3 linked regions of the Caenorhabditis elegans genome follow. The protein of the gene in region 1 purifies or fractionates together with the protein of each later gene. This does not show direct contact. Each region holds a gene or a part of one and is shown in the gene's direction. Other genes may lie near its edges.

What was found.
Region 2: the proteins of iffb-1 (region 1) and egl-45 fractionate together in Caenorhabditis elegans (co-fractionation; one large-scale study listed by BioGRID). This does not show direct contact.
Region 3: the proteins of iffb-1 (region 1) and eif-2beta fractionate together in Caenorhabditis elegans (co-fractionation; one large-scale study listed by BioGRID). This does not show direct contact.

Annotation. Positions count from the first base shown.
Region 1 is NC_003281.10:2,311,961-2,318,737, forward strand, and holds the start of iffb-1 (Eukaryotic translation initiation factor 5B), read left to right. Parts: upstream 1-2,475; 5' UTR 2,476-2,514; coding exon 2,515-2,558; intron 2,559-2,611; coding exon 2,612-2,747; intron 2,748-2,794; coding exon 2,795-3,394; intron 3,395-4,377; coding exon 4,378-5,106; intron 5,107-6,777.
Region 2 is NC_003281.10:7,823,108-7,831,891, reverse strand, and holds egl-45 (Eukaryotic translation initiation factor 3 subunit A), read left to right. Parts: upstream 1-3,265; 5' UTR 3,266-3,303; coding exon 3,304-3,414; intron 3,415-3,466; coding exon 3,467-3,598; intron 3,599-3,693; coding exon 3,694-4,103; intron 4,104-4,158; coding exon 4,159-4,272; intron 4,273-4,368; coding exon 4,369-5,844; intron 5,845-6,143; coding exon 6,144-6,859; intron 6,860-6,924; coding exon 6,925-7,196; 3' UTR 7,197-7,515; downstream 7,516-8,784. Other genes in the region: E3 ubiquitin-protein ligase kcmf-1, read right to left, coding at 1-9, 55-279, 454-664, 1,099-1,364, 1,434-1,570, 1,641-1,738, 1,797-1,948, 2,199-2,390 and 1 more.
Region 3 is NC_003279.8:8,025,431-8,031,196, reverse strand, and holds eif-2beta (Eukaryotic translation initiation factor 2 subunit 2), read left to right. Parts: upstream 1-3,404; 5' UTR 3,405-3,434; coding exon 3,435-3,449; intron 3,450-3,496; coding exon 3,497-3,599; intron 3,600-3,648; coding exon 3,649-3,735; intron 3,736-3,812; coding exon 3,813-4,169; intron 4,170-4,216; coding exon 4,217-4,407; 3' UTR 4,408-4,582; downstream 4,583-5,766. Other genes in the region: Alpha/beta hydrolase domain-containing protein aho-3, read right to left, coding at 1-49, 125-216; C54G4.9 (RAP domain-containing protein), read left to right, coding at 4,678-4,988, 5,037-5,296, 5,346-5,728. UniProt on the Caenorhabditis elegans protein: Component of the eIF2 complex that functions in the early steps of protein synthesis by forming a ternary complex with GTP and initiator tRNA.

The DNA of each region.
Region 1 (6,777 bases):
GCAATATTTTGTTAGTTTAAAATATTTTGCTAACTATTACAGCTTTTGAGTTACACGTGTTTGAACAACCCAAGTTAATCACCTACAAACCGAAAACGAATAGAATATTGGCCGTCACTGTACATGTTGATTTCAATGATTTTATTGCAGAATACTCCATACATTTAATAATACAAAAAAATTAAATTAGCATCTTTTAACACTAACAAGGGAAGTGAATATAGGGGTCCCCGGACTTTGGCATGGCATAGTATTATTTCGATAAAATAGTGTTACCGATGATCGCTCCAAAAAATCTAGCTGCCCCGGTCCAGGTTCAACAAAGTTATGACGTTTTGAAATTTCAGTTAAAAACACCATTGAAATCCACTGTCTAACCATGCTATCCACGCAATTCTCAGCTTGCGTGACCACCGAAAACGTGACACCCACCACATTGAGTTGAAAAATGTCCTCGGTGGCCGAGTTGGGAGTGCGCGCGTCTGTTAAGAATGAATCTTTGGTTCGATTCCTTCTATTTTTGAAATTTTTTTGCAAGTTGAATAAAGTTGTAAAACAACTCATTCAAACATTTTTACGCATTTTTAAAGTGATTTTATTCTTATTCGGGAACCCAGAATCATTTTCCGCACTTTTTGGAAAATTTTATTTTTTTCATTTTTTCTCAAAATTTCTTGATCAACTCCAAGCAAAAATTTCAAAAAATTTTATTTTTCTAAAAAATTTTAAATTGCCATTTTATTGTTTAGAAATGTATGAAACGTATATTACACAAGTTTTAGCGAGTAAACCATCGAAATGATGTACATTTCATGAATTATGTGCAAAATATTTAACCAACTTCGAAGTTCCATAACTTCGTTGAGATAAATTATTTTGAAAAATGATCAACGAATTGTTTGTTGAATAACAATGAACAAAGTTTTAGTTATACACTTTCTGAAATATTTTGCCCTCAAGAAGTTGTGACTGTTTTCCCGAACCCAATGTTAAAAGAAAAACTAGCCAAATGTCAACCTTGTTTTCTTCCTCGTGGCTGAAGGTATCAAATAGTTTATAACTAAAACTTTGTTCATTGTTATTCAACAAACAATTCGTTAGTTGATCATTTTTCAAAATAATTTATCTCAACGAAGTTATGGAACTTCGAAGTTGGTTAAATATTTTGCACATAATTCATGAAATGTACATCATTTCGATGGTTTACTCGCGAATAAAGAGCTAAAACTTGTGTAATATACGTTTCATACATTTCTAAACAATAAAATGGCAATTTAAAATTTTTTTAGAAAAATAAAATTTTTTGAAATTTTTGCTTGGAGTTGATCAAGAAATTTTGAGAAAAAATGAAAAAAATAAAATTTTCCAAAAAGTGCGGAAAATGATTCTGGGTTCCCGAATAAGAATAAAATCACTTTAAAAATGCGTAAAAATGTTTGAATGAGTTGTTTTACAACTTTATTCAACTTGCAAAAAAATTTCAAAAATAGAAGGAATCGAACCAAAGATTCATTCTTAACAGACGCGCGCACTCCCAACTCGGCCACCGAGGACATTTTTCAACTCAATGTGGTGGGTGTCACGTTTTCGGTGGTCACGCAAGCTGAGAATTGCGTGGATAGCATGGTTAGACAGTGGATTTCAATGGTGTTTTTAACTGAAATTTCAAAACGTCATAACTTTGTTGAACCTGGACCGGGGCAGCTAGATTTTTTGGAGCGATCATCGGTAACACTATTTTATCGAAATAATACTATGCCATGCCAAAGTCCGGGGACCCCTATATTCACTTCCCTTGTAAATTCATAAATGTTGAAAATCGGCGGTGTACAATTAATCTCGAACACAGCATCATCGTTTGAAAACTCAAATGTATATTTAATGCCACCAGAATAATCTGGTTTGAATACTTTTGCGAGTTCAATCGGGTCCGACTTTGACATGTCCAATTTGATTGTGCAGATCTTGAAGGAACTTCTTTTCAGGAGATTCTGAATGTTTAAGGTGAAAACTTTAAATCTTAAGTAACATACATCTCTTAATTCAACTGCGTGTTGTGTTGAGAAGACATCCATTCCGACGGTAAACCGTTTTAAATGAAAAAACTGTTCGATTTGATCAACGATGCCATCAATTTCAATTATTTCCAGATGCTTCCATTGCTCTAATTGTGTAATCCGTGCAAAATTATCCATTCGACCAGGTCCTTCGAGTTCTAGATAGTCATATCTTTTCGTGTATTCTATCATTTTTCTCGTTAATTTCCGCTAGAAATAACGCTAATTTCGAATTTTTCGATTTTTTCACAAAAAAATCTGCAAAAAAAACTTTAATTCCGCAATTTTGCGTAAGCTTCGGTGTTTGCGGACTTCCAATTTTTAGCCTAATTTTGAGCCGATTTTCTTCGATTTTCCTCGTTTTTTCGCTATTTTCTTGAAAATTTTTGTGTAAAATCACGAAAAACTCAAATTTCAGACAAAACTCGCACAATTACGCGCAAAAAAGCCGCCGAAAATGCCGCCGAAGAAGGGAGGAAAGAAGAATAAGGACGATGATTGGTAATTCGGCCCGGTTTTTCGATGAATTTTCAATATTTGATTGATTTTTTCAGGGATGACGATGCCGCCGAGAAGAAGCTCGCAGCTTTGAGTGTGGCGAGCAACGCCGACGCTCAATGGGACGACGAAGAGCCGAAGAAGGCGAAAACCAAGGCAAAAGCGCCGGCTAAGAAGGGATTCGCCGCTCTGGTGATTATTTTTTGCAGAAATTACCTATAAAGTCATTATTTTTCCAGCTAGATGAGTCAGAGCCCGAGGAAAACTATTCTGAGCCGCCGGAGCCCGAGCCTGAGGTGAAAAAGGCCGCCAAGGTGCCGGAGAAGCCGGAGAAAGAGAAAAAAGAGAAGAAAAAGGCCGGAAAGAAGGGTAAAAAGGGAGAAGCCGACGAGGAAGAGGATTTAGATGCTCTTCTAGCTTCATTCCAGGAAAAGGATGGCCCGAAGGTGGCGGAAGTGGCTCCAGAAGCCGTGGCAGCTCCAGAAGCTGCTCCGGTAGACGACAAAAAGAGCAAGAAGAAGAAGGAAAAGCCTGTGGAGAAGCCTGAAGAGCCCGCAGTCGAAGAGGATTCGGATGGTGAAGGAGACGAGAAGGATCAGGATAAAAAAGACAAGAAAAAGCAGAAAAAGAAGGATAAAAAGAAGGAAAAAGAGAAGAAAGAGAAGGAAGATAAGAAGGGTGGAGCTGGAGCAAAGAAAGGAAATCTATCGTTGATTAAGGAAATGCTCAAAAAGCAGCAAGAAGAACGTGAAGAGCAGGAACGACTACAGAAAGAGCAACAAGAGCGTGATGCTCAGGAGGAGAAGGAGCGTCTGGAGAGAGAGCACGCTGAGAAGGAGGTGCTCTATGAAGAAAAAATCAAAAAATCGGTGGAATTTCAGCTGAAAATCATGAAAATTCGCATTTTTTCGCTCTGAAACAGAAAATTGCTTCAAAAACTGGCTTTTCCGCCGAAAAATCGAAATATTCGTGGAATTTCAGCCGAAAAACCCGAAAAATTAACCTTTTTGGCACAAAAAACCTGAAATTGGAATTTTTGGCTCAGTCTTTGTAAAATTGGGTTTCCGTGAAATTTTTTTTGACTTTTTCTCCTTGAAAAACCCCGATTTTTCATGGAATTTAACCTGAAAATATGGGAATATATTTATTTTGTGCGAAAAGTCACAAAAAATGACAACTTTCGCTGAAATTGGTGCAGAAATGCCTAAAATTCAGAAATAAAATTGATTTTTTGGAGGATTTTGCCATTTTAAGCGAAATTTTACAATTTTTTTGGGAAAAAAACCGAGTTTTCTTGCTCTAAAATTTAATAAAAATCGAAATAAAATTTAATTTTTACAATTAAAATGTTGAAAATTTCAATTAAATAAAACTAAAAATTGCGAAAATTTCACTCAAAATTATGAAATTCCTTTAAAAATTCCAATTTTTCACCTTTTTCGCAAAAAAATGAAATCTTGGGATTAAAAATCCGATTTTCCGTCAAAAATTCCCCAATTTTATTCAAAAATTGCTTTTCTAAAGCCATTTTAGCATATTAAAACTAGAAAAACCCCAAGTTTTCCAGCGAAATCCTCTAAAAATTCCATTTTTCGAACATTTTCGCAAAAAAAATTAAAATTTTGGGATTAAAATCCGATTTTCCGTCAAAAATTCCCCTATTTCATGCATAAAAATTCTATTTTTAATCCAAAAAGAGATTTTTTAAAGGCATTTTAGCATTTTAAATGAATAAAAAACCAAATTTCGAGCATTTTCGCAAAAAAATTCGATTTTTCGTCAAAGTTTCCCTATTTTATCAATTAAAACTCTACTTTTCCAGCGAAAAGAAGCGGCAAAAGAAGCAAAACGCCTTGAAGTCGAACGCCAAAAAGCCGCCGGAACCTACCAGACAGCTGCTCAAAAACGCCAACAAGCTCTGGCTCTGGAGAAGCTTCGAGCCGCCGGACACTCTGTTCCAGCTCCACGTGATTCTACGGAAGATGAAGCTGCTGGAGTTAAGAAATCATTTGTCTATGTTGATGAGAAGACGAAAGCCAAGCAGGAAGAGAAGAAGCGTAGGCGGTTGGAGAAGCTCGGACAGCTTCCGGTAGCTGCTGAAGCTTCAGCTGATGCTTCTGCTTCTGCTTCTGCTGAAGCTTCTGCTGAAACTCCATCAACTACTCCAGAGCAGGAGAAGACCCCGGAGCCCGTTGACGATTGGGAGATGGCGCACAGTGAGGATGAAGCTTCAGCTCAGAAGGAGAAGCCGAAGAAGCCAGCCACCAAGGCTTCTGATGCCGACGAGGATGACGACGAAGAGTCTTCCGACGAAGAATCAGATGAAGAATCGGAAGATTCTGAAGAATCTGAAGAATCTTCTTCTGATGATGATGAGGATCGTGGTGGACAACAGAAAGAGACGGTCGAAGAGAGAATGGAACGGATTAAGCTTCGAATTGCCAAGAGGAAGGAGGTGGCTCAAGCGAATCGGAGCACAGATAACCTCAGATCTCCGGTGATCTGTGTTCTTGGACATGTTGATACTGGAAAGACGAAAATGTTGGATACTGTATGTGTGGAAATTCTGACGAAAAAACACGGTTTTTTCATGGATTTTCAACAGAAAAACGGGGAAATTAGCGAATTTTTGTTTAAAAAATCGTGATTTTCGGCGAATTTTCACCCAAAAAACGTATTTTTCAACTGAATTTCCGCGGAAAAATTTGATTTTCAGCCTATTTTCCAAGAAAAAACTCACTAAAACGGAAATTTCACCCAAAAAAAAAAAGTATTTTTAGCCAAATTTTGACCAAAAAACGTGAATTTTATGATAAATACGAGCAAGAACGGGGTTTTCGTGGATTTTTAAGTGAAGAAAACACGATTTTTGTCCATTTTTGTTGAAAAAAAGTGATTTTCAGCAATTTTTTCAAAGAAAAATCTGGATTTTCGTCTGAAATTCACTGAATTGACGGAAAAAAAACAGTTTTTCACGGATTTTCCAGGGAAAAACGTGATTTTTTGCAAATTTCATGAAACTTTTGTGGGAAAAATCGTGATTTTCGTCAAATTTTTATCCAAAAAAACGTAATTTTCAAATTAAAAACGAGATTTTTGTCAATTTTCACTAGAGAAAAGGTGGTTTTCACAGAAATTTTAAAGTAGAAATGTGATTTTGAGCTTATTTGCAACGAAAAATCGCGATTTTTTGTTTAAAAAAACGTGATTTTTACCGAGGTTTTGTAGAAAAATCGTGATTTTTACGATAAATACGAGATAAAACACGGTTTTTTCATGGATTATAAGTGAAAAATGAGACTTTTGCCAATTTTCGTTTGAAAAATCGTGATGTTCGTCAAATTTTCACCCAACAGACGTATTTTTCAGTGGAAAAACGAGATTTTCACCAAAATTTTTCTACCAATTTTTCAATGGATTTTCATTTGAAATTCACTATAAAATTTCAATTTTCAGCGAAGAATCAAAAATAAAAAAAGCAATTTTCGGCAATATTTAGAGGAAAAAACCGTGATTTCCCTTCTATTTTCCAAGAAAAAGCTTGATTCCAATTGATTTTTATTTTTAAAAAAGGATATGGAAAACTAAAATCCACTGAAATCTTTTCCAGATCCGCCGAACAAAAGTCTGAGAAAAAAAAAGGATTTTATGGTTTTTCATCTGAAATTTACTATAAAATTTCAATTTTCACCAAAAAATCACCGAAAAAACCCTATTTTTCACTGAAAATCATCATTTTTTGCGCCAAATTCTCCGGAAAAATTGAATTTTCAGCAAATTTTCGTAGAGAAAACGTTATTTTCAGCAATTATTCAACAAAAAAAAACGTGATTGAATCAAATTTTCGAGAAAAGTGCAATTTGCAACAATATTTCGACGAAAAAAGTGATTTTTAAAAACACAATTTTTGTCTGAAATATCACCCAAAAAGCGGATTTTTCAATAAAAATATGGATTTTCATCCCAAATTCACTATAAATTTGCAATTTTCAGCAAAAAATCACAAAAAACACCTAATTTTCATTAAAACCCGCGATTTGGAGCAAAATGTATAGGATAAACCGTATTTTTAGCAAATTTTCGTAAAGAAAACGCTATTTTCCAGCAAATATTTAACAAAAAACGTTTTAAAAAACCCATTTTTCATCGAATTTTCAAGGAAAAAAAAATTGATTTTAGCTTTAAAAATGAAAAATTCACTAAAAAAAAAAGATTTTTTGCT
Region 2 (8,784 bases), 5.5 Mb from region 1:
ATGCGATATCTGAAAATTTTAAAATAGGAATCATAAAATCAGAAAATAAGTTACCAGGCTTTGTTGGATCAGTAAAAACGGGCTCATGAAGGCAAGAAGCTCGTATCAGAGCCAACGCGATTTCAGCTTTTTCCATAATTTCAGCATTCGAACTAGCTACAGATTGCTCACGTTGCATTTTTCTGGGTCGAAGAAATCGTTTGTCAGACCAATAACCTCCACATCCAGTTGATCGAATTGGAGTTGTTTCGAATGAAAGTGGCAACCAACCCGGATCACCTAAAGCACAAATTTAATTAAAATTATCTTTAATTCCATTAATTTCATTGAACTTTCTATTTTTACAACATTTTGTAACATTTCAACTATATTCCTTCTTTAATAACACATCTAGTTTCATTTTACAGATATTAAAAAAACAACTGATTACGGTAGTTAAATAAATTTACACACCTTCGGAATCAGACGTAGTCGTCACTTGAGCAGCATTTGCTAATCGTTTTAAGGGACGCTGTGTCCAAACAGGCATCTTATCATCTATATCTTCTTTCACTTTTGCAGTTGATTTCATAGTTTCCAGTATCAAGTCAACATCTTCCTCGCTTATTCTTGTTTTCAGTGTTTTCCAGAATTCGTCCTTTTTTAAAGCTTCATCCTCGACGATCTTAATTGGAAATGTCAAATATGCATTTGTTTAATCTTCGTAAAGATTAATCCTTCGATTAACCTAGTTTCAATTTTAAGACGTCAAACGGGATATTTTCGAAAACGATTAAAATAAACATTACAAGTTTATTTTTTCGATGTTGTTCAGATTGATGTAGTTCCAATGGGGATTGTGTCTAAATACACTAACAAAATCTAAACATTCCAGGTATCCTAGTATTTTTTTAAAAACTTGCTTGATGGTCGAGTTTCAAAATTAAGAGTTACAAAAACTGATTAATTATCGCTTTTTCGCTCGAAAATTTAAATGAACGTTATATTATATTTATTCATTTCAGCGCTCGAATTGGTTTCTAGCAATTTCCCGACTGACGGTATTTTTAACAAATTCAAGTAAACGAAAAAACTATATTTTTCTCGAGAAAAACTCACAGGTTGCATGTCATCCAACTCTTGAATATCATTATCATCTTCTGATTCATCTGCAGAATCTGCTGCTGGCTGAGGAGTCTCGTCTCCTGATTCGTCAGAAGTCGGAGGATAAATCGGAATAGTTGCCAATGGCCTTATGACTTGCTGAACATTCGGATCTTGATGTGTCACGGCACTTTCTACAACAACAGTCGGTCGGTCACCAGTACTTGTCATTAATCGTTGCGAACTTCGAATTCCAGGCAATAACGGTACGGTCATCATCTCTGTAAATCGCCTGATATCTTCGACAGAATCAGGACCCATGTTTCGTAGTAAAGCAGCCATTTCAGCACCTATTTCGTCCTGTAAAGGCCTTCCTTGTGCTGCTGTTCGTGACACTCCTGCTCGATTTCCTCTTCTTGCTAACATTGGACGTCGCTGAACTGGGCGAGTAGTTATTGGTTCAGTTGAACGAAATAGGTTTTCCATTCTGTAACAATTTGTGATTTTTCAAAAATATTTAGAAATATTGGGAAATGTGAGTTTTTTGTATGCCTTACGTATGAAGATGAATCTCTGTCCAATGTACGCTCAAATTTTCAGTTTCTTTCGATTGAATGTGCTCCATCTCTGTGTTTCCAATACAAAGCGGGCATATCTGGACGTTAACAAATTAATGTTATTTAAAGGATATTATGTTTAGCATTTTCTCTTACCACACTGTAGCCCGGAGCCTCCGGATGTTGTGAAAGTACATGTGTCCCAAATTGCCGTTCGGTCAATCCTGTTATATTACAATACGGACAAGTGAAGGAAACAATTTTCCGTTCGTCATAATGTCGCGTAGGGTCGCCTTGGTATACGAGGTCTGTAAAGAATACTAATATTTGATAACATAATTTTTTAGGGGACGAAAATTATATATTTTTAATTTTTCTGAAATCCTCACTCTCACCATGTTTTTATAATAGATGTTTTAATTATGTTAAAACTATGAAACTTGTCATTTTATTTATTACAAAAAAAACTCAAAATGTTAATTTTTTTCGATAAAATTAAATTAAAGCTTTGAATTTTTTATAAAACCAAATGTTATGTGTAAATATTTATAATCCTACCAAAGTCCACAGAGCTCAAAATTAACTGCATTGGATGGGACTCGTCGTGTATTGGGATATCAGCTATTGTTTGCTGGTCTCCGTAGTTCTTTGTGGTAAAACAACTGAAGCAGAGATCGTAATCACTGCATCGTAGGCATTTGTAACGGTTTCCAGCAAACGCGGTGAAAGCACACCCATCACACGATACACCTGAATGAAGGGAGATATTAGTAATTCTTTTCAGATTCAATTACCCTCGTGTGTGCCAGTAAGAGGAGTCACCATCAATCGACTATGAAAGCTGAAAACGATTCAATTGTTTAAATGTATTGTAAAACAGCAAAAAATAAACCAGCCAGGAAAAATCGATTATATTAAGTGGATTTTCTCAGTGTGATTGTGGAATAAAATATTATAATTTTAATTTTAGGTGGAACTGGGAAAACTCAATTGATTTTAAACATTGATTTGAAGAAAAACTTTAAAAAATTAGCAAGAAAGGGTAAACATTGTGGATATCTGATGAAAATAACACTCGCGCTTTAAAGGCGCGTAGAGTTTTCTCCGCGTGCAGGTCTCGCCGCGAAAGCCTTTTTTCGTTCATTTTCCAACCGATCGGTCGGATTCTCAGCCATCTTTTGCGAATTTTTAGTGTTTTCCGCAATTTTTTGATGTTTCTGTTGTGAAATTATGATAGAAAACAATTTTCTATTCATGATAGTGCAAATTTTTCTCAAAAATGATGAAATTTATCGATTTCTCGTAAGAAAACATGTTATTCTATTGAAAACGAGTCAAAAAGTCTAGATTATTGAAGTACTATGTGCAAAGTTGAACTATTTTCATAGCTTCTACAGTAAATACATATTAAAGAAGTTTTTAATTTAGTGTAATAGCTAAATTGCTGGCGAACTGTTAAAAAGTGATCAATTAAAATGTGAATGTACAAATTAACATCGATCCAATTGAAATTCGGAACCGTTTTTGTGATCTTTTTTTAAAAATACATTTCGAATTTGGAATTACGCTCTATAAAAAAAATATTGATTCTTAATGTAAACTTCTTTTCATTTCGCAATTTTCAGGCTTCGTGTCTCAATTCAGCGGTAATCCGAGCACAACTATGGCTCCGAATTATTTTCAAAAGCCCGAAGCGGCATTGAAACGCGCCGAAGAACTCATTCAAGTTGGAAAAGAGTCCGATGCCCTTGACACGCTTCATGATACTATCAAGGTAGGCTTTAGAATGCTCCTAATTTGAAACTTTGAATTTTCAATTGTTGTAGGCCAGACGACACAAGCAATGGACAACTGTTCACGAACAAATCATGATTAAGCACATGGAATTGTGTGTAGATCTGAAGAAACAACACTTGGCAAAAGATGCTTTGTTTCAATACAAGGCTCTAACTCAACAGGTTATCTTTTTTTTAACGATTGCTTTTGCGAGTAGAAAATTATTATTCTGACTGACAGTAATGCAAATTATTCATGCTAATTAATTAATTTTCAGATCAATGTGAAATCTCTCGAAACAGTTGTGGTGCATTTTTTGAAACTCGCAGAGCAGCGTACTGAAGATGCTCAAAAACAATCGATCGAAAAAGTCGAAGAAATTGGAGATCTTGATCAAGGAGATGTTCCTGAACGCCTTCTTCTTGCTGTTGTTTCTGGAGCAGCTGCTCAAGATCGAATGGATCGTACTGTTCTTGCACCATGGCTCCGTTTTCTCTGGGATTCTTACAGAAATTGTCTGGAATTGTTGAGAAACAACGCCCAAGTTGAACAACTCTACCACACCATATCTCGCCACTCTTTCACTTTCTGTCTCAGATATCAACGTAGAACAGAGTTCCGAAAGCTGTGCGATCTCCTCCGTATGCATCTGAATCAGATACAAAAACACCAATATGCTCCAAATGTGTAAGTGATGACACTATTCAGTAAACGCTAATTAAAATATTTTCTGTTCTTTCAGAAACTCTTTCCGTGTGAAACTCACTTCTCCAGAATCTCTAGGTCTTATGCAAGACACCAGATTGATTCAATTGGATACTGCGATTCAGATGGAGCTCTGGCAAGAAGCTTACAAGTATGTTTTTCTTGTTTTTTTTTAAAGTTCATGTGCGAGGGATTATTTTTCCAGTGAATTGATTGTTTAATCAAATTTTATATGTTATTTTTTCAGAAGCGCAGAAGACGTTCACGGAATGATGCAGCTTTCAAAAGACAAAGACAAGAGAACGGTAAAACCTGCAAGCTATGTCAATTATTATGACAAACTTGCATTGGTGTTCTGGAAAGCAGGAAACAGTTTGTTCCACGCCGCCGCCCTTCTTCAAAAGTTCATCATTTACAAAGATATGAAGAAGTCTTTCACACAGGATGAAGCACAAGAACAGGCTACTAGAGTGCTTCTCGCTACTCTTTCCATCCCAGAAGGATCAGATTCGCCATCTGATTTGTCTCGCAACCTTGATATTGAGGATCAACATGTAGCCAACATGAGACTTCTCTCAAATTTGCTTCGTCTTCCAATTGCTCCAACTAAAAACGGAATTCTCAAGGAAGCCGCACGGATTGGAGTACCAGAAGCTGCTGGACAAACCGCCAAGGATCTGTACAAGCTTCTTGAGAGTAATTTCTCACCATTAAAAGTAGCTAAGGATGTTCAATCTGTTCTTGATACTGTCACTCGCCCTGACCATCTGCAATATGTTGAGTCTCTTCAAGCAGTTGCTGCTGTGAAGGCTTTGAAGCAAGTATCTGTCATCTACGAAGCTATCAGCTGGGAACGAATTCGAAAGATTATTCCATTTTACTCTGACTTGGCATTGGAGCGTCTCGTCGTTGAAGCAAGCAAACATAGAATTGTGAAAGCTCAATTGGATCATCGTGCTGATTGTGTTCGCTTTGGATCATCCGATGCGACATTGGCCGGAGGAGTCGATGAATGCGATAACAACGAAGGATTCACTGGAGATGATACTCAATTGGGAGTGGAAGGTGTTCGTAATCATCTTGAAGCAATGTATACACGTCTTCGTGGTCTCGTTGAAGGACTCGATGCCGAAAAACGACGCAAAGAGATTCTCAAAAAGATTGAAGGACAGGTCACTAGTTATGAAAAGAACCGACCAACTGAAATCGAGCGTATCCACCGTCGCAAGAAGATGTTGGAGAACTACAAAGAGAACTGGGAGCGTGTTAAGGCTGAAAAGACTGCTGCGGCTGCAACTGAACAAGCTAAACGTGAGGAAGCAGCTCGTGCTGAGGAGATGAAGAGATTGGATGAGCAGAACAAGGAGAGCGAACGGAAAAGAAAGCAAGCAGAACAGGATGAGATTCAGAAGAAGATTAAGCAAGATCAGCTCTACAAAATGCAGCAGAACGCCATCTACCAAGAAATTATCAAAGAAAAGGGTCTCGAGCAATTCAGAGACATGGATCCCGAGCAAGTGCTGCGTGAGCAGAGAGAACGATTGGATAAGGAGCGTGCCGAAACTCAACGTCGGTTGCAACAACAAGAGAAGAACTTTGACCATCATGTTCGCGCTCTTCACTTGGAAGAGTTGAACGAGCGTCGTGCAGTGATGAATATGCGACTCTCTGAAGCTCCAAAACTTCACGATTTATACGAAGAGGCTAGAATAGCCAAGGAAATGTAAGTTTTTTTTTTCAATTAATGTTAATTTTTTGAAATTCTACTAAAATTTTAGAAAACCGAAAGCGTCTATTTAAATTTTCTCTTAAGTTTTGCTTTTCCTGCAAGTTTGAGTTTGAGAAGGATTTTCGTCGTTCTTAGCATTATGAAATGCACAAAAGTTTTGCGATAAACACGATTTAGATCATATATTAATAATTTTGTTGTTTCATTTGGAAAATTAGAATTTTTCTATTTTTAACATTAGTGATTTCTTTCTTTTTTTTGATCTCTCATTGTAATAAAAAATAATATTCCAGTGCTGCTCATGACTCACACGTCAAACTATGGGGAATGTGGGATCAAGTGCGAGACGCTACTTTTGATTGGGTCGAGTCGGTGAAAATCGACAACCAGGAAACTCTTGAGAAGAAGTTGTCTGATTGGCAAGCGAAGCTCGAGGCAGTTCGTAATAATCGTCTTGCCGAACGTGCTGAGGATCGTAAGAAGAAGCGAAAGGAAGATGCTATTCAGGCGAAGATTGCCGAAGAACGTAAGAAACGCGAAGAAGAGGAGCGTGCCCGTCTCCAAGTTATCGAAGGACAACGTCGTCAACACAATGATGGTCGTGGTCGTAGAGAAATGGAGAATTCGGTTGCTATGCAAGACAATGATTGGAGACGTAACCCACCACGTGAGAGTTTGCCTCCAAGAGAAACGAGACCAATGCGTGATGGACCAACACGTGAACCTCGAGAATTCCGTGGAGATCGTGATCGTGAACCTAGAGAGCCATTCCGTGAGGTGCCATCTTCTAAAGCTGATACTGACAACTCTTGGAGAAGTTCTGCTCAACCAACTCGTAAACCTGACGATCGCCGCAGCGACGAGTTCCGGCGCAACGATGATGTCCGTCGCAACGACGATGTTCGCCGCAATGATCCACCCCGTCCAGCATCGAAGGCTGATACTGGGGATAAGTGGGAACGAGGAGTGAAGCCAGTCGTTTCTCCACCAAAGACCGATGCCCCATCAGGTAAGATTAGTTTTTATTGTTCAAACATTTGTCGCTACAAACCTAAAAAAATAATCATTTTTCAGTTTCTGAACCGAAATCGGAAGGACCCAAGAGGTTCGTGCCACCCCATCTTCGAAACAGACAAGGAGGTGGTGGAGCAGGTGGTTCCGAGGAACAATCCGCTCCTGCTAGATCTGGAAATTCCAATGTGACAAGCCCACCAGACCGGGCTCAAGGACTCCGAGGCCCACCACCAACTGGCCGCAACTCGTTGCCTCGTCGTGACGGACCACCACCACGGTCTAACAACACTGGAAACACGGGAAATGCCGATAGTGGAAGTTGGAGAAAATAAACACATGCTCAATTTGTGCTGATTCCATATCCAATTTTCAGAAATTACTCGAATGTCCTTAAAATTAGTATCCTGGTTGATTTTTCTGTCTTTTTTCCTGTTTTGGTTATCCTTCCCCCACTTTCTCTCTAATTATAAAATCACACGCATCTATAATCAATTGTTTCGTTAACTTTCTTGGTGTTGTTATTTAAATTTCCCCGAATCCCCTGTTGACCCTCATTGAGAATTCCTATATTCTCTTCACATCCATCTTTCCGTAAACCCCAATTGTTTGAGTATTTATGAGTAATGATATGAATAAAGACATATGTAGCTGACGACTTGAACGACTTAAACGAGTGGGCGTGTCGTCGTTTGTCCGAGAGCAACTTAGAAAGTGCCCGAGGCGCATCGAAACGAGCCACATTGGGGCACCTGTATGAGGGTGCTTTAGACGACGTAATGAGACACTGAGAGCACGCTGATTGTAGAGACGGAGACGTCATGAGTGGACAGAGAGGAGACGGGGGGTAATACAATAAAATAGGATAGATGGTATGGGGCAAGCAAGCAGTGGCCCCATACACTTCTGAAGGCACCAGTTGTATTCATGATTCACCTCTCCTGGATGTGCTTCCTGCTTTTACCTTCTTTCTAAGTAAAACCGTACCAATGGTTTGAACATATATATATAACACAATTTTGATATATTATAAGTTTTTATTACCCGCACGCAAAATTTTGTGATTTTTTCCCAAAAATACAGTCCCCGGTCTCGACACGACAATTTTTGTTAAATACAAACATGTGTGCGCCTTTAAAGATTACTGTAGATTGAAAGTTTCGCTGCTGTGGAATATTCATTGATTTTTGATAGTTTCTTTTCACGCTTCGTTAAAATGTATGTGTTATTAATGTTAAGTTAAAAAGAAATATGAAAAATAAATGAAAATTCCACAGCAACTTAAGTTTGAAATTACAGTACCATTCTTAGCAATCTGTGAGATTTACGAATTTTAAAAAATGGTGTACAGTTCAAAGGGGATTTTTCTTCAAAGTACCCTAATTCCATGAAATTTAAATATAGCTATACCACAAAAAGTGAACAATTCACAAAAATTCACAAAAAAACCGAATATATTTTTATCTGTTTTAATTACCTCCAAACTGATAACTGCAAGACCAATCAGTGACTTCGAGCTTTGCCCACTCAATCTGATTGGTTCAAAAGTGGGCGGAGCGATTCGCTAATTGGTCTTCCAGTTCTTATTGTAGAAATAATTCGAACACGGAGTTTAGCAAGGTTTTTAGATCTCTCTCGAGTTTTTCGTTGTTCCTTTAAAATTTCAGCTTTTAAAATAATTTTCCAATTGACTATACTCCATTTTCAAAGAAATCCCCTACTACGTAAAATATAACTCATATTTTCATTTTTCCGGAAAAAAGAAATTTCTTGATTATAGGCTTGTCAGGTCGTGTTGGTCTCAAACGAAATGACGTTTCCATCACAACAGAAACAATTTTCCTTTTTGGCTTTCAGTTTAGTCTATGGCAAATAATTGTTGGTTACATTGAGACCTTCAATTTTTAATTTTTAAATAATTTT
Region 3 (5,766 bases), on another chromosome or scaffold:
AACAATGGATGATGGGAATGGAGGACAGCAGAATAAGCAGCAGAGATCTCTGAAAAATTGAAAAATTATTTTAAAAAATTTATAAACACTTAAATTTATGGGAAAAACACCCACTAAAACTCACTTGAAAGAAACACTATTTGGTCCGCCAGCCCGTGGTGGTGGTGATCCAGGTGTACTCGACATTGATGAACCCGATGGTGCTCCTGACGACATCTGAGTGGCACTGCAGGCCAATCTGAAATCAGAGAAATCGGTGGCAGTCACGTGGAAATGTGGAAGAGGAGGGAGTCGTGGGAAAATGAAGAAAGTAAAAGAAAAATAGAAGCGGGTAGAGTATATAGCTGAAGACGGCAGAAATGTATTGGTATCAACGAACGAAATATTGAAAATTAAAAAAATAATGGGTAAAAATTGAGAAATAATAAAGACCTAGATAGCTTAAAGGAGAGTTTCAAAAAATATGGATTTCGTTTTAGAATACACGGAATATTCTAATATATATATAATACCACAAAAGAAAAAATTTAAAAAATCGAAAATTTCAACATTTTCAAACAACACCAACGGAAATTAGCGAGAGTTTCCCATTTTCCGAATTCCACCTTCAAGTAGTTCAGTTTTAAAATTAAATTTTCAAAAATCAAACCAGAGCTGAATTAAGAAAAATAATTTTTCAACAATTTTGAAACGCTTTTGGTAATCAAGTATCACTAAATATCTTACAAGGCGTTGCCCAAACTATCAAATTAAGTGCTTGTTCAAAGAGAAAGAGAGTAGGAAACAAAGAATTCGTTTGTATTTGGTTATTGAGAGAAAAAAAGATGATGAAGAAGAAGAAGACGTACTGCATTTGACCTTATCTCATATGAAATGAGAATGAGAGCTCGATGCTTAATTTCGTAGATGCACATAGACACACATAAAAACGTGTATTTCTTGCTTTGCTCTTCGGAATGGTAGTGCATGGGACTGGAGGGAAATTGGATGCTGGAATGCTTCATCCGTCACTCACGATCCCGTTTGCCTATTTTCAATTTATTTTTTTGTGTTTAACAAAAACTAAAAATGAAATTAGAAGAGAACTGGGAGCATAGTGGCCGAGCCCATAACCATGGTGAATCAGCGATGAATGTTTTGTTTAAGAGAGAACATAGAGGAAGGAAAGACGCCGAGTGCGGCCACCTTATTACATATTTGTAAGAGTATTATCATTGTTCCGAAAAAAAGGAAGCCGAAAAGTGCGCGAGTTCGGACGATGATATTATGTATGCTTTTGCTAAAGAGAATAAAATTTGGAATAATAATAAATGAAGGCAATGAGAATTTTAAAGAAGAATAAAAGTTAAAGAAATAATTAGCTTCGTTATCTAAATTTCAATGCAAATTATAATGAGAAATATTAAATTTTTTGTGAATCTGATCTATTTTAGTAATGAAGACCACAACAGCCTCAAAATTGGATTCCCTAGGGCGCTCTCGAGAAAAAGGAAAGTACAGAAAATCTTAGGCTACTAAACCAAATTGGCTTCTGTTTTCTTTTCAGAAAAAAAAAGAAAAATGGAGTCAGTCGACAAACCCCTTAAGTGCATTGTACTGAATAGATAAGACACGTAGAAGGTGAGAGTAGCTAAATCATTCATGAGGAAGACATTCGGGAAGAAGCTTTCTGGAAAATACGAAACAATTTCCAAAAATAGTCGACCATTTTTTAATTTTCTCCATATACTGACGCAAAACTGGTGATAAGAAGATTGAACCGTTTCCGCTTTTAATGATACTGCAAAAACCACCATGATAGTGAAGAAGCGGCGTTGTCACTTTGTTTTGTTTTACAAACGTTGGTTTCACCGTCTTCAGAAACAATACAAGCATACGCTTTTTTTTTCAAAAAAAAAGAAAGAAAATAAACAACAAACTGAATCAACGGTAAATATGGTTTACGATGTTAAATGTTTTTAAATCAAAATTAACAAATTTGGATTGAGAAAACTGGAGGAAGAAGTAAAATAGATTGAAAACTGCAAATTCCTATTATTAAATTCACGGAACTGGAATAAATACCGCATTTAATATTCAATACGACCTCAGAAAACCTCAGAGTCAGACACACTTAACGAATTAGAAGTATTCTAAATTCGAATAAATATATGAAATTTTACAGTTTTGAAATATACAAATCTATGAGCGTAGTAACGAAGAGAATTTGCTGTTATGCGCGGCCGTGTAGAACGAGAGAGGGTCAGAAGAGCCAAGATGAAGCAGAGAGCAGAGACGACACCGGCGACCCGAGAGCAGCAATTCGTCGGCGATATGCCTGGCTGAGCCAACGAGTCTCCGGCTGCCAATCTCGCAACACTAAGAGCTCCGCCTTTCTTCTGCTCCAACGTCCTGCAACATCAACTTCTTCGTCCTTTTCTTCCGTTTTCCACACAAAAGCTGCGCTTAGATACTCATTGTCAATCGGTGAACCAATTCTTTCCATTGAAAGGATGCCATAACGAAGCTGATTGTTGTCAATTTAGTTATCCTCCCACTCCTCCTATCAGAACTGAAAAAGCTGAGAGCAACGAGGTAGGCACGAATTGGCCCACGTCACAAACTAGTCGGATTTGTGATGCGATGCCGACGGATTTGGTTGTTTTTTGATATGAAGATTGTTAGAGAAATGTATTTTTTCTGACTATGAGAAGTAAATGGCAGTACTAAGATCATATATGGATTCGCATGGGAATTATTTAATAGCAGATTGCTTCTTTTTTTCACAATGATTTTCCGTGAGACCGGTCCTGGCTAGTGAAAAACAACGAACATTGTAACGGCAAGTGGAATACAGAGACGAGAGTATCAATTATGTACTAATCAGTTCAAAACAATACATTAAAATAGATTTTAATATTTTTGTTAAACTTAACAGCTCAAAAGGATTCAGCGAAGATATATTTTTGCTTGCCAAGTCAGTAATTTTCAAAGGTGCGTCAGAACTCGATGTTAGAGTAGAAAATACTATCAATCATAGAAAAACGATAGAAAATCAACTAAAGATATATAAAATATGTCAATAAACTCGCATATTCTAATCTTATTGAACAAAATAAATAAATTCTCATTTAGAGAACAAAAAAAAAAAAGTGTTCACTCCTCGTAAATCTCCCCCAGCCTCAAAGAGAAATCGTGGCGAGACCTCACCACAGCCATTCTTCATGCGCCTTGAAAGTTTTCTCTCATTTTTTGCATTTCGCAACCCATTTTGTCTTTTAAAATAACTGAAACGGCAAATAATCTTCAAAACTTAGTGAATAAAATGTATTTTTAAATTGTATGTATATTACGAGATTCAAAATGCCTACCTTTCTTCATGAAAATCGTTTCGCATCTTCATTTAAATGATTTTTCAATTCCAGGTTTTGTACTTCAAGCAAAACAAACAAACTATGGCTGACGATTTGGTAAAGTTAATTTATCTCGTCTTCAAATTGAATTTATATTTCTCCAGGGTCTCGATCTCGGAAAAAAGAAGAAGTCTAAGAAGGTGATCAAAATCGATGGCGATGATGCTCCTGTTGAGACCGGCGTAGAAGCTGTAGAAGATGGCTTGGGTGAGCTGATGAAGATGTGTATCTGATTGTTAATTAATCAAAATTACAGGCGAGCTAAACCTTGGAGCTAAAAAGAAGAAGAAAACTCCAAAGACAGCCGGCGAAGAAGTAGTTGAAGAGAAAGTTCCAACTCTCGGTAATATATTTTATTACAAAGTTATAAAACTATAATTTTGCACAATACTCTTTCAAAATAAATAATTATGAATTCAGAAATCGGAATTGGAGCTCAAAACTTGATCGATGCAAAAGGGGCATGGCCAGATTACACATACGAAGAAGCTCTCACTCTTGTCTATCAGGTTATGAAAGACAAAAATCCAGACTTTGCTGGAGACAAGAAGAAGTTCGCCATCAAGCTCCCAGAAGTTGCAAGAGCTGGATCAAAGAAGACTGCTTTCTCCAACTTCCTCGAAATTTGCCGGCTTATGAAAAGACAAGACAAACACGTGCTCCAATTTTTGCTCGCGGAATTGGGAACGACTGGATCCATCGACGGAAGTAACTGTTTGATTGTGAAAGGAAGATGGCAACAGAAACAATTTGAAAGTGTCCTCCGGAAATATATCAGTAAAAAATAGAAATTTCCCAAAAATTGTATATTTTCTGTATTTCAGAGGAGTACGTAATGTGCCATACTTGCAAGTCGCCAGAAACACAGCTCACCAAGGATACTCGTCTCTTCTTCCTCCAATGTACTAACTGTGGTTCCAGATGCTCTGTTACAGCAATCAAGAGTGGATTCAAGGCTGTCGTAGGAAAGCGTGCCGCAATTCGCCGAGCCGAAGAAGCTACAGCTGGAAAGTAATATTTTCTAAACTTTACTCGGTTGTTATCCGGCTTTTTATGGGTTGGTACTTCTTTCCATTTTTCCGAAATTCTTGTTTTGCTTTCTCTTTTCCTTGTTTTCCCCGTATTTATTTTTATCCAGTTTCATTTCCTTTCTCATTCGATTCGTGTTTTGAGAATAAATTCGGCATAGTAAGTGTTTCAAATTTATTGAATGATTTGTTCTCACCTTTTTAGGTATTTTCCATGTTCAAGTTTAGTCAAAGGATCCCCAATATTTCAGCACCATATGACTAACCTTATGAGTGCATTGTCAAAACTTTCACAGGCTTTGGATTCCAAAAATATTGGAGAAGTTCTTCTCGCTCTTCAGAATTTCGATGAAGAATTCAGCGCTGAAAAATGTGAAGATGTCTTCGTTAGATGCTTACAAGAAATTATTTCATGGGACTTGACGGTTTCTCTAGAAATATCTGAAACGGTAGTTCGACAAATGATGAATCGATTGGAAAATCAAGCGGTGTTGGAAGAAATGTGTAACTATATAATCAAACAACAATCATCTGTCACTGTGGAAATTGCAGTGGAGATAATGATAGAGTAGGTTTTATTTTATTCAGCTTTTGTTCACTTTTTTTACTATTACAGGCACGGCTGGATTTTAAGAACAGATGATTGTAGAGAAGTCTGGAAACAAATCGAGTCTGCGAAAAATACTGAAAAAATCGAAATTCTCGCAAGAAGAATGACTGCAAATTGTAGAATTCTGAGGTTATCTGGAGCTCCGAAAAGATTTCTTGAAAAATTACTCAAGGATGTTATAATATCGCTCAATGCAAATAAGGTCAACATTCCCATGAAATTTCTAAATGAGCTCGCTATTGTTTCTCCCTTTCATCCTATCCTCGGTAAGAGCAGTTGTAGAATTAAATTTCAATTGAAAAATGCGTATTTCAGTGATCGAAGATTTCAAGAAGGACTCCGAATATTTTTATATTCCACACGTTGTTTCAGAAGAGACCCGATTCCATTTGGAAGTGAAAGAGTTCACAAATTTCTTTCAAATTGAATCAACTTATCACAAAGAACAAGCATGTCAGATGCTTCAAGTGTTTAATCAGATTTACAAACGAATGGAGCTTATCCCTCAATTGGAAGCTCCCGAAATTGATAAAATTGTAGAATTTTGGCTTGCTGCTCTTCGAATATTCAATGGATATGGAATTGGGATGAACGACATAACAGAATCAGCCAAGCTTTTAGAGAAAACAGCTTCTAGATATTCTCTCAAAAGCAGACCTCTGTTTCTGAAGCATTTTCTTAAAAAAATTTCCGAAAAGGTTTGATTTCTGTTGGTGTATTTTTAAAGATTAAAAAT